3 linked regions of the Oryctolagus cuniculus genome follow. The protein of the gene in region 2 interacts with the protein of the main gene of each other region in a biochemical or structural test. Links are inferred from orthologs where the notes say so. Each region holds a gene or a part of one and is shown on either strand. Other genes may lie near its edges.

What was found.
Region 1: the proteins of MYO6 (region 2) and TAX1BP1 form a complex in vitro, tested with the Homo sapiens proteins (5 studies listed by BioGRID, with this or other methods). The link is inferred for Oryctolagus cuniculus from reciprocal best matches to the Homo sapiens genes MYO6 and TAX1BP1.
Region 3: the proteins of MYO6 (region 2) and DAB2 form a complex in vitro, tested with the Homo sapiens proteins (7 studies listed by BioGRID). The link is inferred for Oryctolagus cuniculus from reciprocal best matches to the Homo sapiens genes MYO6 and DAB2.

Annotation. Positions count from the first base shown.
Region 1 is NC_091447.1:19,317,319-19,321,549, forward strand, and holds the start of TAX1BP1 (tax1-binding protein 1), read left to right. Parts: upstream 1-1,374; 5' UTR 1,375-1,534; intron 1,535-2,061; exon of another isoform or gene 2,062-2,786; intron 2,787-4,231.
Region 2 is NC_091436.1:96,517,264-96,520,830, forward strand, and holds the end of MYO6 (unconventional myosin-VI), read right to left. Parts: intron 3,197-3,567; coding exon 2,978-3,196; intron 2,436-2,977; coding exon 2,236-2,435; 3' UTR 616-2,235; downstream 1-615. UniProt on the Homo sapiens protein: Myosins are actin-based motor molecules with ATPase activity. Unconventional myosins serve in intracellular movements. Myosin 6 is a reverse-direction motor protein that moves towards the minus-end of actin filaments.
Region 3 is NC_091445.1:64,778,993-64,782,642, reverse strand, and holds part of DAB2 (disabled homolog 2), read left to right. Parts: intron 1-1,009; exon of another isoform or gene 1,010-1,091; intron 1,092-1,594; exon of another isoform or gene 1,595-1,730; intron 1,731-2,911; coding exon 2,912-3,565; intron 3,566-3,650. UniProt on the Homo sapiens protein: Adapter protein that functions as a clathrin-associated sorting protein (CLASP) required for clathrin-mediated endocytosis of selected cargo proteins.

The sequences.
Region 1 (4,231 bases), on a different chromosome or scaffold from region 2:
TTCATTAACTGAAATTGGTGGTAATTAGAAATTTATTACATGTAAATAAGTCATGTGATTTAAAAACACAGGATGACATCTCTGAAAAATTGTGTTTATAGAGTTCACTGCTCCGTTTACATTTCTTTAGGCACATGGTTATTTCCATTACTTAAAGGTCAGTACTTGCAGTGCTAGCGATTACTTATATTGAGTGTGTCAACTTTTTTTTTCATTCATAAAATAAGTAGGTTGGGACTAAATGACCTGTTGTGATTCTTCTGAAATTCTATGATCATGTACAATATACAGTACAAAACCTGGTTTAAAGATTTCAATATATAGGGAACAAATTAGCAAACACTGAGGTGCTACGGAAGCCAATGACATCTTCAACACGGTGAAGCAAAGCTGAAAGAGGATGCTGCATACTTTATAAGGTGCTTCAATGTTGAATGTGACCTAATTTCTTATCCTTTCTTCACGGGTGACATTGCACATTTTACCAGGGTTTTATGTCAGCGCAGGAATTTGATGCATTGGAGCAGAACACACCTGCTTTCGCGGAGTTATCATTCAAAGCCAAGCTTGCTGTAGGAAGGTAAGAAGTGTAACTGAAGTCAGCACAGTAGAAAGTTCACACGCACAGAACAGTACAAGTACCAAAAGCACTTCACAACAGACAGAAATGCGAGTGAAAGAAGAACTGCTGGAGCGAGAGCAAATGGACTCCGAGAGCGTCAGAACCGCAAAGCTCCTTGAGGGAGGCGAGCTGGTATGGGGCAAAACTTGGTAAAAAAAAGCACTTGTCCACACGGGCAGCCGGGAGACAGCCTCCGCGTTCTAGAACTGCAGCCCTGGCCCTGGGGTCGCTCCCTTCACTTTTCTGATTCTCTGCTGCTGCATCTAGAAAACAGGTGGATTCATTTAGACAGCTTAGGATCCGCTTGGTAACGACTCATAGACCTCCAGGCTACACTTTTCCACTTTGCCGGGAGGTCTATGAGCAAGTTAGAACTCCAAAATGTTTGTTAGGAAAAAAGTATTTACTGGTTAATTCTACGCACCTGCTGCAATCCCAACTGTAAACAGAGGACTGCAGTTTAAGAACGTGATGACTAGAAAAACAAGACCTGCTTACATCTCCAGTGTGTTTCCCCATTTCCTATGTTAAAGTAACAACTCTAAAGATTAAAAACGTAAATCGAAGTGGACCCGGTCTTGTTGCGACTAAGCAGCCGAGCGAAAACAATGAGACGCAACGCAACTGGGGTAGGGGTAGCCCGGCGGCGGTGTAAAGACCCTCCGGGACCCGCTCCAGGGTCGCCGCAGGCCTGGTGGGCGGCGAGCTGACGTGGAGGGGCGGGCCTAACCCGCGCGGCGGCGGAAGGACCCGCCCCACTGGCGGAAGTGACGTCGGCCGGAGCTGGCTCTGAGGGGAGGTGAGCCGGTCTGTGGAAGGAGGCGGTGGTGGCGGAAGAGGTTCGGTGGCTGATGGCGGCTCTGGGTCGGAAGCCTGTCTGACGTTGTCCGTCGGTCCGCAGGCTTTCCGGAGGTAAGGCGCCTTTCCCCGGTCCGCCTCAGCGCCTCGTGAGGGGCAGACCCCAACTGGAGCGCTCTGGGGGGCTCGTGCTACGCCCCTCAGACTCGCGTCTACGGGCCCGGCCGGTGTCGGCAATGGTTTCCGTGGTGACGCTGCTGCCAAATGACGATGCTTTCCCTTTCTGCAGTCACCCCTTCTCTCCCGGACTACGACTTGTGACGGCGGTGTGGGCAACTCGGGCCAGCCGGGGGGTTGGGAAAGCGACGGGCGGCCGCCCCGCGGGGGCGGGCAGGCCCGTGGGATAGGCCTTGGCGACCTGGGGGGCGCGTGTGGGACGGGGGCGACCCGCGGGGTGTCGGGGGAGACGGGCGGAACCTCTGGGGTCCGAGGCTCAGCTCCGGGGCGCGTGTCCTGAGGGCAGTATATGTGTGCGCGCCCGCGGCTAGGTGAGCTTGGTCGTGTCCCGAAAGGACGGCCGGGTTCGCCACTGCGGAGAGAAACCCAGCTGTTTTGGTTTGAGTCGCCCGTGGAGGAGGAGGCGGAGACTCGCGGTGCCGCCTACTTTTGCGGGCCGGGCGGAGCTAGCTGTCCGGGCCAGGTCGGCTGCTCACCCGGGCTGCGGGATCGGCCCGCTCTGCCCCCTCGCCTGGGGATCCAGCGGGGAGTCGCGTCTGTCTCTGCTTAGTCGCCTTGGCTTGCCCACTCCTAGCCGCTGCGGGTCCGCAGGTTGCGCACAAGTCCCGGCAGGCGTTCGTGAACCTGTTCGAGCCTGTGTGTGTTCGCCTTCCTGGTGAAAGTTGCTGGGATACGCTGTGGCGTTGCAGACTGATTTTTGGTTTCATGAAGTAGTTACGAATTGCTGTTGTGCTAAGGATGTAGATGGGGAAAATAAACCGTCCTTCTTCAAGTCTGCTTTCCGCTGATGGGAAAATTCCAGAGAACTGTGCCAGGACAGTTACTAATTATCGTTTTGGCTTTCAGTTCCAGAAGCCTTTAAAAAGATGCTTTGAATAACGTGTTAGTCTAAACGTGGGCCTTTCGTCCTCAAAGTGCCCTTCCAAGGTAGAGGGCTGAGGTCAGGCGCTCTCCTTTGTGCTTTCTTGAAGGATTATTTGATTATGCTAGGACGGACTTCTTATTACACTTCCCGGTTTTTTTGCAACTTGATCGTTAAACTTTAAAAAACATCCTATTGCAGTTCTTGTTTTTCTAGTCATCACGTTCTTAAACTGCAGTCCTCTGTTTACAGTTGGGATTGCAGCAGGTGCGTAGAATTAACCTTTTTCCTAACAAACATTTTGGAGTTCTAACTTGCAGCCTTTTAATAGGATGTTAAATATTAATGAAAGATTGTAACTTTGTTCCTGTACTTCTTTGGAGGAATTACTTAACATGCTTAGTTTACTGGAGTTGCATTCTTTTGGAATGGATACTATGTAAAATTTGGGCTTTATGCACTCTGATTTTTAAATATTTCGCCCCAAATAAGCTTTTAGAAGAACATAAAAATTCCCTAATATATATAAGTAAATATCACTGCATTTTAGAAACCAGTTTATTACATAAACTTGAAAAGTAAGTAAAAATGGTGTGGGTGAGGCCAGGCAGGGCCTGGGAGCACTTAGCTGTAAAGGATTCTGGAGACAGGGTCCTAGTGAGAGTGCAGATTAATAGACTGGAGACACCGCTTCTATCTCCAGAAGTTTGTTGTTAACATCATCTCTGAAGGAGAAGTCTATAAACCAGTTGATAATCTTTAAGTATGAGTAATTGGAGACCATTTGAATACCAGGCATTTTTTTCCCTTCATTCGTTTGTCCTATAGGACTGAAGTTTGGAGATGATTTTAAAGATTCATTATTTGTTTAAATGGGAGTTTTAAAAATTTTCCATAAAAACTCTCTCAACCACTAGCTGAATTCCAGCATTTTTAAAGGCACAAAGTGTTCATATTTTAAAATGCAGTGTATTGCAGTAGGTCATCTTTGGAGTTTTTATTACTAGTCTGTTTGATTTGCTTATTTGCTTTGCTTTTACTAACTTTATTTTGGAAATCTTCAAACATGTGAAAGGAGAATGAACTGTAAGAGGAGGCATATTTTGCTAATTTGTTTCATTACCTCCTCCAGTACCTTTGTTTTTTCACTTGAAGTTGTGCTTTCTCTCTCTAATGTCAGAGTGAGACCAAAAGTGAGTCCTCAAATTCCTGTGACAGATGGGACTGGGCCAGGCTCAACTCAGGAGCCAGGAACTCAATCCAGGTCTCCCACATGGGTGGCAGGAACTCAAATGTTCTGGCCATTGCCAGCTCCCTCACCCATCAGCAGGAAGCTGAAGTGGAAAATGGAATTAGACTGAAATTCATTGGCCCTTTAGCTGCTGTGCCAAATGTCTGCCCCTCCCTTGGAGTTTTTAGAGTCCCAGACCTTGACATTTCACTTAGTAGTAGTATAGTGTACTCTAACTGATCAAAACTTTAAAAAATAGAATCACCATAACCATATTATCCTGTATAACAAAATTGCTTATTTCTTGTTCAGTTTTAATTGTTAGGACTAAAGTAATTATCTAAATTAAAAAGATTAATTTGACTTTTTGTATTAAGTGCATTGAAGTTCTTCATGTATTCTATTTTCTTTATTTTTTAAAAAAATTTTATTTGACAGGTAGACTTACAGACAGTGAGAAGGAGAGACAGAGAGAAAGGTC
Region 2 (3,567 bases):
CAAATCCTTCAGTTTTCACTAAGCCTTTATGGGTCTGATACAAGGTAAGGCAGCCACATCAACATCCTTTAGGACACCATTTCGGAAATTTACTGGAAAAGGCTAACAGAGATCTAAGTTTTTCCACCAAACTGACTTGGGTGTGTATGCACAGCTACTCTATGTAGGTTATTCCAAGTGTGTCTGAATTAGGGCAGATCTCCTGGTAGCCAACATTATAACTCAGGAGACTATTTTAAATGGGTAAGTTCTAGGACAGCCATGTGGCATAATTAGAAACAAAATGGCTTAAGATTATAATTTTATTAATTATTAGAATCAAAAACTACAGGCTTATAAACGGTGTTTTGCTATGACAGATTTCTTTAGAAATTGTTTGAAACGTAAAGTTCTCATTATAATGACTTTAACCTTTTTGATTAATTTCTCATCTAGTGCCTTTTAATGTATCTAGAGGATTCATAAAACTATTTCTGGAAACAGTACTGAGAGAACAAGTCATTAAAATCAATTTAGTAATTAAATTTTTAAAAGACTTTACTTGTTACTGGTGAGAAAACAAAGCTTATCATTTTCCAATCTTACACAAATAAAAACAACAATGAAAGCAAGGGATGAAAGAGAGAGAATAGACCATTTATTTCAGTAACTACACCTTGTCTCCAATCACAGGGACCAAATGACCCAAGGGCAAGGAAGTCAATGCAGTAGTACAGCCTCCAGGGAGCAATCACATTCACATTCTCAATTAATATCACAGACAGGACTATTTAATTTCTTTAACACAAATAATCATTTGCATCATAATAAATAAATATCTTTGTACTAAGACACATATGATGAGAGAAGCTCTGAAAACAGTGTCTGTGGTTCACAGACACTAATTTGATCAGCTGGGAAATCTTTTCCTAACTGAGGTATTCTTTCTAGGAAAAAGAAATTACTGAAGTTTCATTTCAAAGGTTAGAGTCTTTAAAAATTAGAAAGAAAGGTGCGGAGAATAATTTTACTCTCTAATTTTATTCTAGAATAAAACAAGTCTCCTTAGAATTATGCCCACATAACTCCTTGATGTAATTTTGTTCCTAATCTCCTAATATGAAACTCATAAATATTAGGTTTGAAACCGCTGACATTTGATCAAAACTAACAGCACACAAAGACAACTTTTTTAAATTATCAGTTACATGAAACAAGCAATTACTAAATACAAGAGCTTTTGAATTATAAAGCTTATAAAACAGCTCTACAGTTAACAAAATCTCAAAGCCCAAAAGAGACACTAGGAATTAAAAAAAAAAAAAAAAAAAAAAAAAAAAAAAAAAAAAGATGTCTGAAGCAGAACACCAACTTAAATTGTATGAAACATCTTGGACAAGATTCTGATACAAAAATTCTAATGAAGAGACTATTTTAATTCAGTTAGTCCAGTTATGCCACAGTGCCACCTAAAACCTATTTTCCTTTTCTTTTTGAGATACAAAATATATCTCAAAATTTTTACACATTTAAACAATGTGAATTTCTTTGATTTGTCCATGGAATATAAAAAGCACAAGAAGAAACACAAATCTGGGTGGGATACCATTAATACCTCCTTTATCACCTAACACTCAGGTATCTGATACATAAAGGCTTTTCTAGAATTCTAGAACTTAGGTAGGAGAGATTCACAAAAACCAAGACATAATGCAAAAGAGAGGAAAAAAAGTCAGAATCTTCATTAATTTTTGAAAAAGTTAGTAAAGAAAAATAGATAGCTTTTAAGAGCAGAAACATTAGTGCCTTGATCATTTTAAGCGCCTTAATTCTTGTCAGAAATTTAAGCTAAGGTTTCATTATTCCAGTTATATGGTACTGTGCCATCCTTAAAAAGCAAGTACCTTACATTAAAAAAAAAAAAATCTCTTTTCCTAAAGAATAGTTAGGATGGACTTAGAGGAGGCTGTTGGCAAAAGAAGAGAAATGTCAGAATCTGTCCAAGTGTAACAAGTATTAGAATAATGAGATGCCTAAGACTCATAGCTGCATACAGGAAAATGATTTTTAAGTCCAAAATTCACTATCACAATCTTAATTAACCTAAAACAAATTAACAAAAAGGCAATGATTAATAAAATCTGTTCACTTTGTTTAAGTATTCTAACATGATCGTGAAAGGGTTACATCTTTCGGGCACACACCCCACCCAGGACTGTGGCAAGGGCTCCCAGTTGTCAGGGGAGCGTGCAGCATCTACTTCAACAGATTCTGTAGCATAGCTGTCGCATACGTGGGCCTGGCCTGTCTGCTCTCAATCGCGTTCTGAAGGTACTGGATGCCTCCACAGCGTTCCCAGATTTCTTCAAACTGTCTTGGCAAAATCTCAGCTCCACGCTTTCGAGTCAGGCCGGTCTCTTCAAGATTCAGCTCACACATCTCCATGTCATCTTTACCTGCATACAGCAGGCATCAGAAAGTTACCATCTCTCTTCCCAGAAACATTCCTCGTGAATATTACTGAAATAGCTATCAGTTCTCTCAGACTTGAGAACTTTCTAACTTACCTTTCTATTAGAGGAAATCTAATGTTAATAAATAAATTCACCAGAAGCAACTTGGGTTTGTCCCCCATCAAAGAGCCTTCCAAAATTTATAAACACTTCAGTTGACAAAGCAAGTTATCAGGATTAATAAAAACGCTACACTTCCTGAAGCCATTACAAATCACTGGATATAATTACACCAGTGAAAAGGTTCTGAGGACACAGAGAAGTCTCTTTATGCACTCTGCAAGGACATAATTAATCTAAGCCATTTCACATTATAAATCAGTTAGTCCTCAATTACTTGGAAATGTGATTGAACTACAAAACTCCATCCCTCAACTCTGAAACGTAATGAATTCTTACGTTACATATTAAAATGTTTTGTTTAGAGGGCTTATACCCCTTTTTTGGTTTATACATATACATATTTTCATGTGAATCATACACACCAGCCACAAGAAGGATGGGTGGCTTGTCAGGATGCAGTTCCATTTGCCTGGCAATCCAGGGTCCATCGAAATGGGCATACCACCAGCCTTTCTTCTTACTCTGGGGGTCTTTGTACTGGTCAGCAGGACGGATGAACGGGATGCGGAAGAAGCGCTGCTGTCGGTTCATTTCAATCTCCTGCTGCCTGGCAGGAAGCTGAGCTGCTGGGTTCTGCTGAGCTATCACACAGAACAACGAAAGTTACACCACAGCACCGGGGAAGAGAACACAGCCTCTAATCCTAAAATGAACCAAGAACTTGGAAAACAAGAGGGACTCACCAGGAAATTTTAAACAAAATGTAAATATTAATTGCCTCTAAATGAATATAATTCAGAGTGTGATATTTTCTTTCTGTCTTTCCCTAAACATGTTCTTAGGCCTTACAAACACACAAACACATACACATACCACCCCCACCAACAGCAACAACAGTACATCCTACAAGATCACCACAAATGACTATCAATAACCGGCAAGAAACTCACACAGCAGGAAAGCAAACTTCTTTTATGCAATTTATATCTTTCCTCCTGAGTGTTTAAATGAA
Region 3 (3,650 bases), on a different chromosome or scaffold from region 2:
ATAAGAAAGAGAAAGCTAACAGGGCTAATTAGGTGGTCTTGAGACTTTGACAATATGTTACATATTGACTCCATATTCATGGGTCACAAGTAGATATTTATCTTTTCTTGGTAAAATCAGCATGTTCAGAAATATTCAACTCATAACAACTACTCTGGAAGATGTGATAAGAGAGAGAACTCTAAATCACCCAGGTGCTATTAGTAGTTCCAGATGGCTGTCACTCCCCTCACCTTTATACAGGAAAGTTTCACACCTTTTAAATAATGCTCATGTTGCAAATTAAGTGACATCCCTTAGAACATAACTTTTATTGGAAAAATGTTTGGGCATTATCCTTCCACACTGTATCAAGAATGAAAGAGAAGGAGAAGAAAGGAGGGAGGAAGAGAGGGAGACAGTCTAAGAAAAGAGGGAGGGGGAAGGGAGAAAAAGACATAATCTCTACGTATAAACTTTCACCATGTGAGAGCACAGTTACTATGAGAAAACGGTGTGATGCATGAGCCATCACTAAGGAGATTAAATCTGGTACAAGGGATGGGATCAGGGCACAAAGTTCAAACATTGTGTGTACACTCGTCTATACTCCATAAGATGCCATGGAATGGGAACAGGTGAAGTTGAAAGATCAATGAGAAAAGATTGTGTAAAGAATCTGAATTTGAGTTGGGTCTTTGAAGGGTGTACGAAATGAGACAGTAATTAAGCTATAAACAACTTGGATTCTATTGTGAATCATTTTGGAAGTTGCCCTAATGAAGCTTGTTTTAATGTAAGGAGAAGTAGGAAGCCATCAAAGGCTTTGAGAAGGGAAGAGTTAGATTTCGCAGGCTTTGAGTGGTTAGTAGAGACTGGCTACCCAGAGAAGAGCTAGCTGTGGAAGTCAGAGTGACACATGCTGTTGCCTCCTGTACCCCTTCGTAAAACTCCTCAAGAGTAGAGTCTTTCACTTTCCAGTCTCCAGTGCCTGTCTCTCAGGTGTCCAAATGGTGGCCAAGCAGATGCAAGGATTGACAGTCCAATAAGGAATCCATGAAGCTCTGGTCAAGGGGAAAGGTGCGGAGGGTCTCACATCTTGCAGTTGCAGCCTGTGAAGTAGACTCTTAGTCTTGACTACCAACAAACCCAACCTGAGGAGAGCCTTATACATTTTACTTATAGGGTGACTATTCAGAAGTCTAACATTGTGCCTCCTGTTTGGTGTCCTAAGAACTTCTTCTCAAGTGTTTGAAAAGGAGAACTCTACCAGCTGTGAACACCCAACGGTTCTAACCCAGAGGTGGCTCATAACAAAGGAATAAATATTGAAATCACAAGCTTTTGTAAGATTGTATAAAGATATATGCATTAAGAGGTCTTCCAATCCCTGCCTTTGATTTTAAAAAAAAAGTTTAAATTATAAAGTCTTTCTAGTGACAAATTCTTCCTGTTATAAAGAAAAACTGGCTTTTAAGAATGTGTTTCTATGCCTCACAATAAAGGAAGCACAAAAATGTAATACAATTAGGTCTGATTTTTGCTGTTTCTAAACAAAAAGCGTTATTTTCTCTAAAAGCTGAGGAGGCCTGTTTGAGCCCTTTGTTGTACTTACCCGTTTTGAGAATCTCCTCTTTTCTTGAGGTTCGTTTTCTCCCAGTGATCAAAATATGTGCTACTCTGCAAGGGGTAATGTCAAATGTCTAGTCTAGATACTACTTCCAGTAGGGAGTTTTTATTGTCTGTATTCTTCTATGCTGAGCTTAATTAAATAGTTAATGGATCAAAGTCAGAGGAGCATTTGTGAGTATGAGAACTCTCCCACAGTGAGTCATACTGAGTTACGTCATAATTAGGAATCATGACATGCCAGATTCATCATATTGGTTGCTTTTATGCTAAGGATTTTTTTATCTAACAGTTGAGAAGCCAATTGACACACCAAAAAAATACTAGAGATGAAACAGGACATTTGATTTATCTTTCTAATTCACTTTTACATCCACATTTCTAATATATATAAATTAAAGATTAGTGATTCTTCAACTTTAGCCACTAAGTAGATGATATTACTGTCAAAACACAGGCCATTCTAAGCTCTGTTATGAAGAAAGTGCACACATAGGAGAGGTTGATGTGTGCTGGATTAGATTAGTATTTTGTGTTGATCTGATAGAAGGACGTAGACAAAAAGGATGTGTCCAGAGGAGAGACTCAGGCGGTAAGAATGAGAGATCCAGCTTAGCTAACACATTCCCTTGGAGTCTGAAATCTTTAAAGAGGTATACCTGTAGGTATAAAAGGATAATCATACTATTTTTCTTGGAAGAACTGGAACAGTTATAGGGAAATGTACTTGATCTTAAACTTCATCACATACCAGAACTATAAAATATGAATGTCTTAACCAATGAATTCTCTCAATTAGTGAGGCAATAGTACACTAGACTGTGAGGTTACAATAGGAAGATGTATACATCAGACAGGAAACTAGGCCAGGCTGCTCAGGTTACTTGTGATTTTCAAGCTTACCATACCTAGAGCAACTCACAATCCAGTCCCTTTAAGACTTTAAAAGGCATGAATTAAAACAATGCTGATAACAAACTCAGCCAGTCTGTATATGTGGACCAGAATAAGCAGAGACATTGAAGGAAACAACAGTAAGATTTCACTTAATAAAGGGCCAGAAAGCTGAGATTTAATAAAAACGAGACTTAATCAAGCAAGAAAGGGGCTGGGGGAGACCTGGTCTATGGCTGGTAAATGCACTCAGCAGATTGATGGGAGGAGGTAATGGTCAACCAGTTTGTCACAACCAAATTCTGGGAATGTTGATAGCCCTGGTCATCTTAAGTAGTTTTCTTGTTTGAAGTCATAACATGGACTAACACTTTCTTTCTTTTTTTTTTTTTCTTTCCAAATGTGATAGGAAAGCAAAGATATCCTGTTAGTGGATCTAAACTCTGAAATCGACACCAATCAGAATTCTTTAAGAGAAAATCCATTCTTAACAAATGGCATCACCTCCTGCTCTCTTCCTCGACCAAAGCCTCAGGCAACCTTTTTGCCTGAAAATGCCTTTTCTGCCAATCTCAACTTCTTTCCCACCCCTAATCCTGATCCTTTCCGTGATGATCCTTTTGCACAGTCCGACCAATCGACACCCTCTTCGTTTGATTCTCTCAAACCTCCAGATCAGAAGAAAGAGAATTTGAGTAGCTTGCCTGCTCCCCTGAGTAACGGGCCCCTGAATGGCGATGTTGATTACTTTGGTCAGCAATTTGACCAGATCTCTAACCGGACTGGCAAACAGGAATCTCAGGCAGGCCCATGGCCCTTTTCCAGTACGCAAACCCAGCCAGCAGTGAGAACTCACAATGGGGTATCTGAAAAAGAACAGAACGGCTTCCATATCCAATCCTCCCCGAACCCTTTTGTGGGAAGCCCTCCCCAAGGACAATCCGTACAGAATGGCGTAAAGCAGGACTTGGAAAGCCCTGTCCAGTCCTCACCACATGACTCCATAGCCATTATCCCACCTCCACAAAGTACCAAACCAGGAAGAGGCAGAAGGACTGCTAAGGTGAATTGTCTTCTCCACATATCCGTTAGCAGAGTGCATGTGCGGTACCAAAGGGTTGTGTGATGCAAGCTCTCTTTGCTGCCGC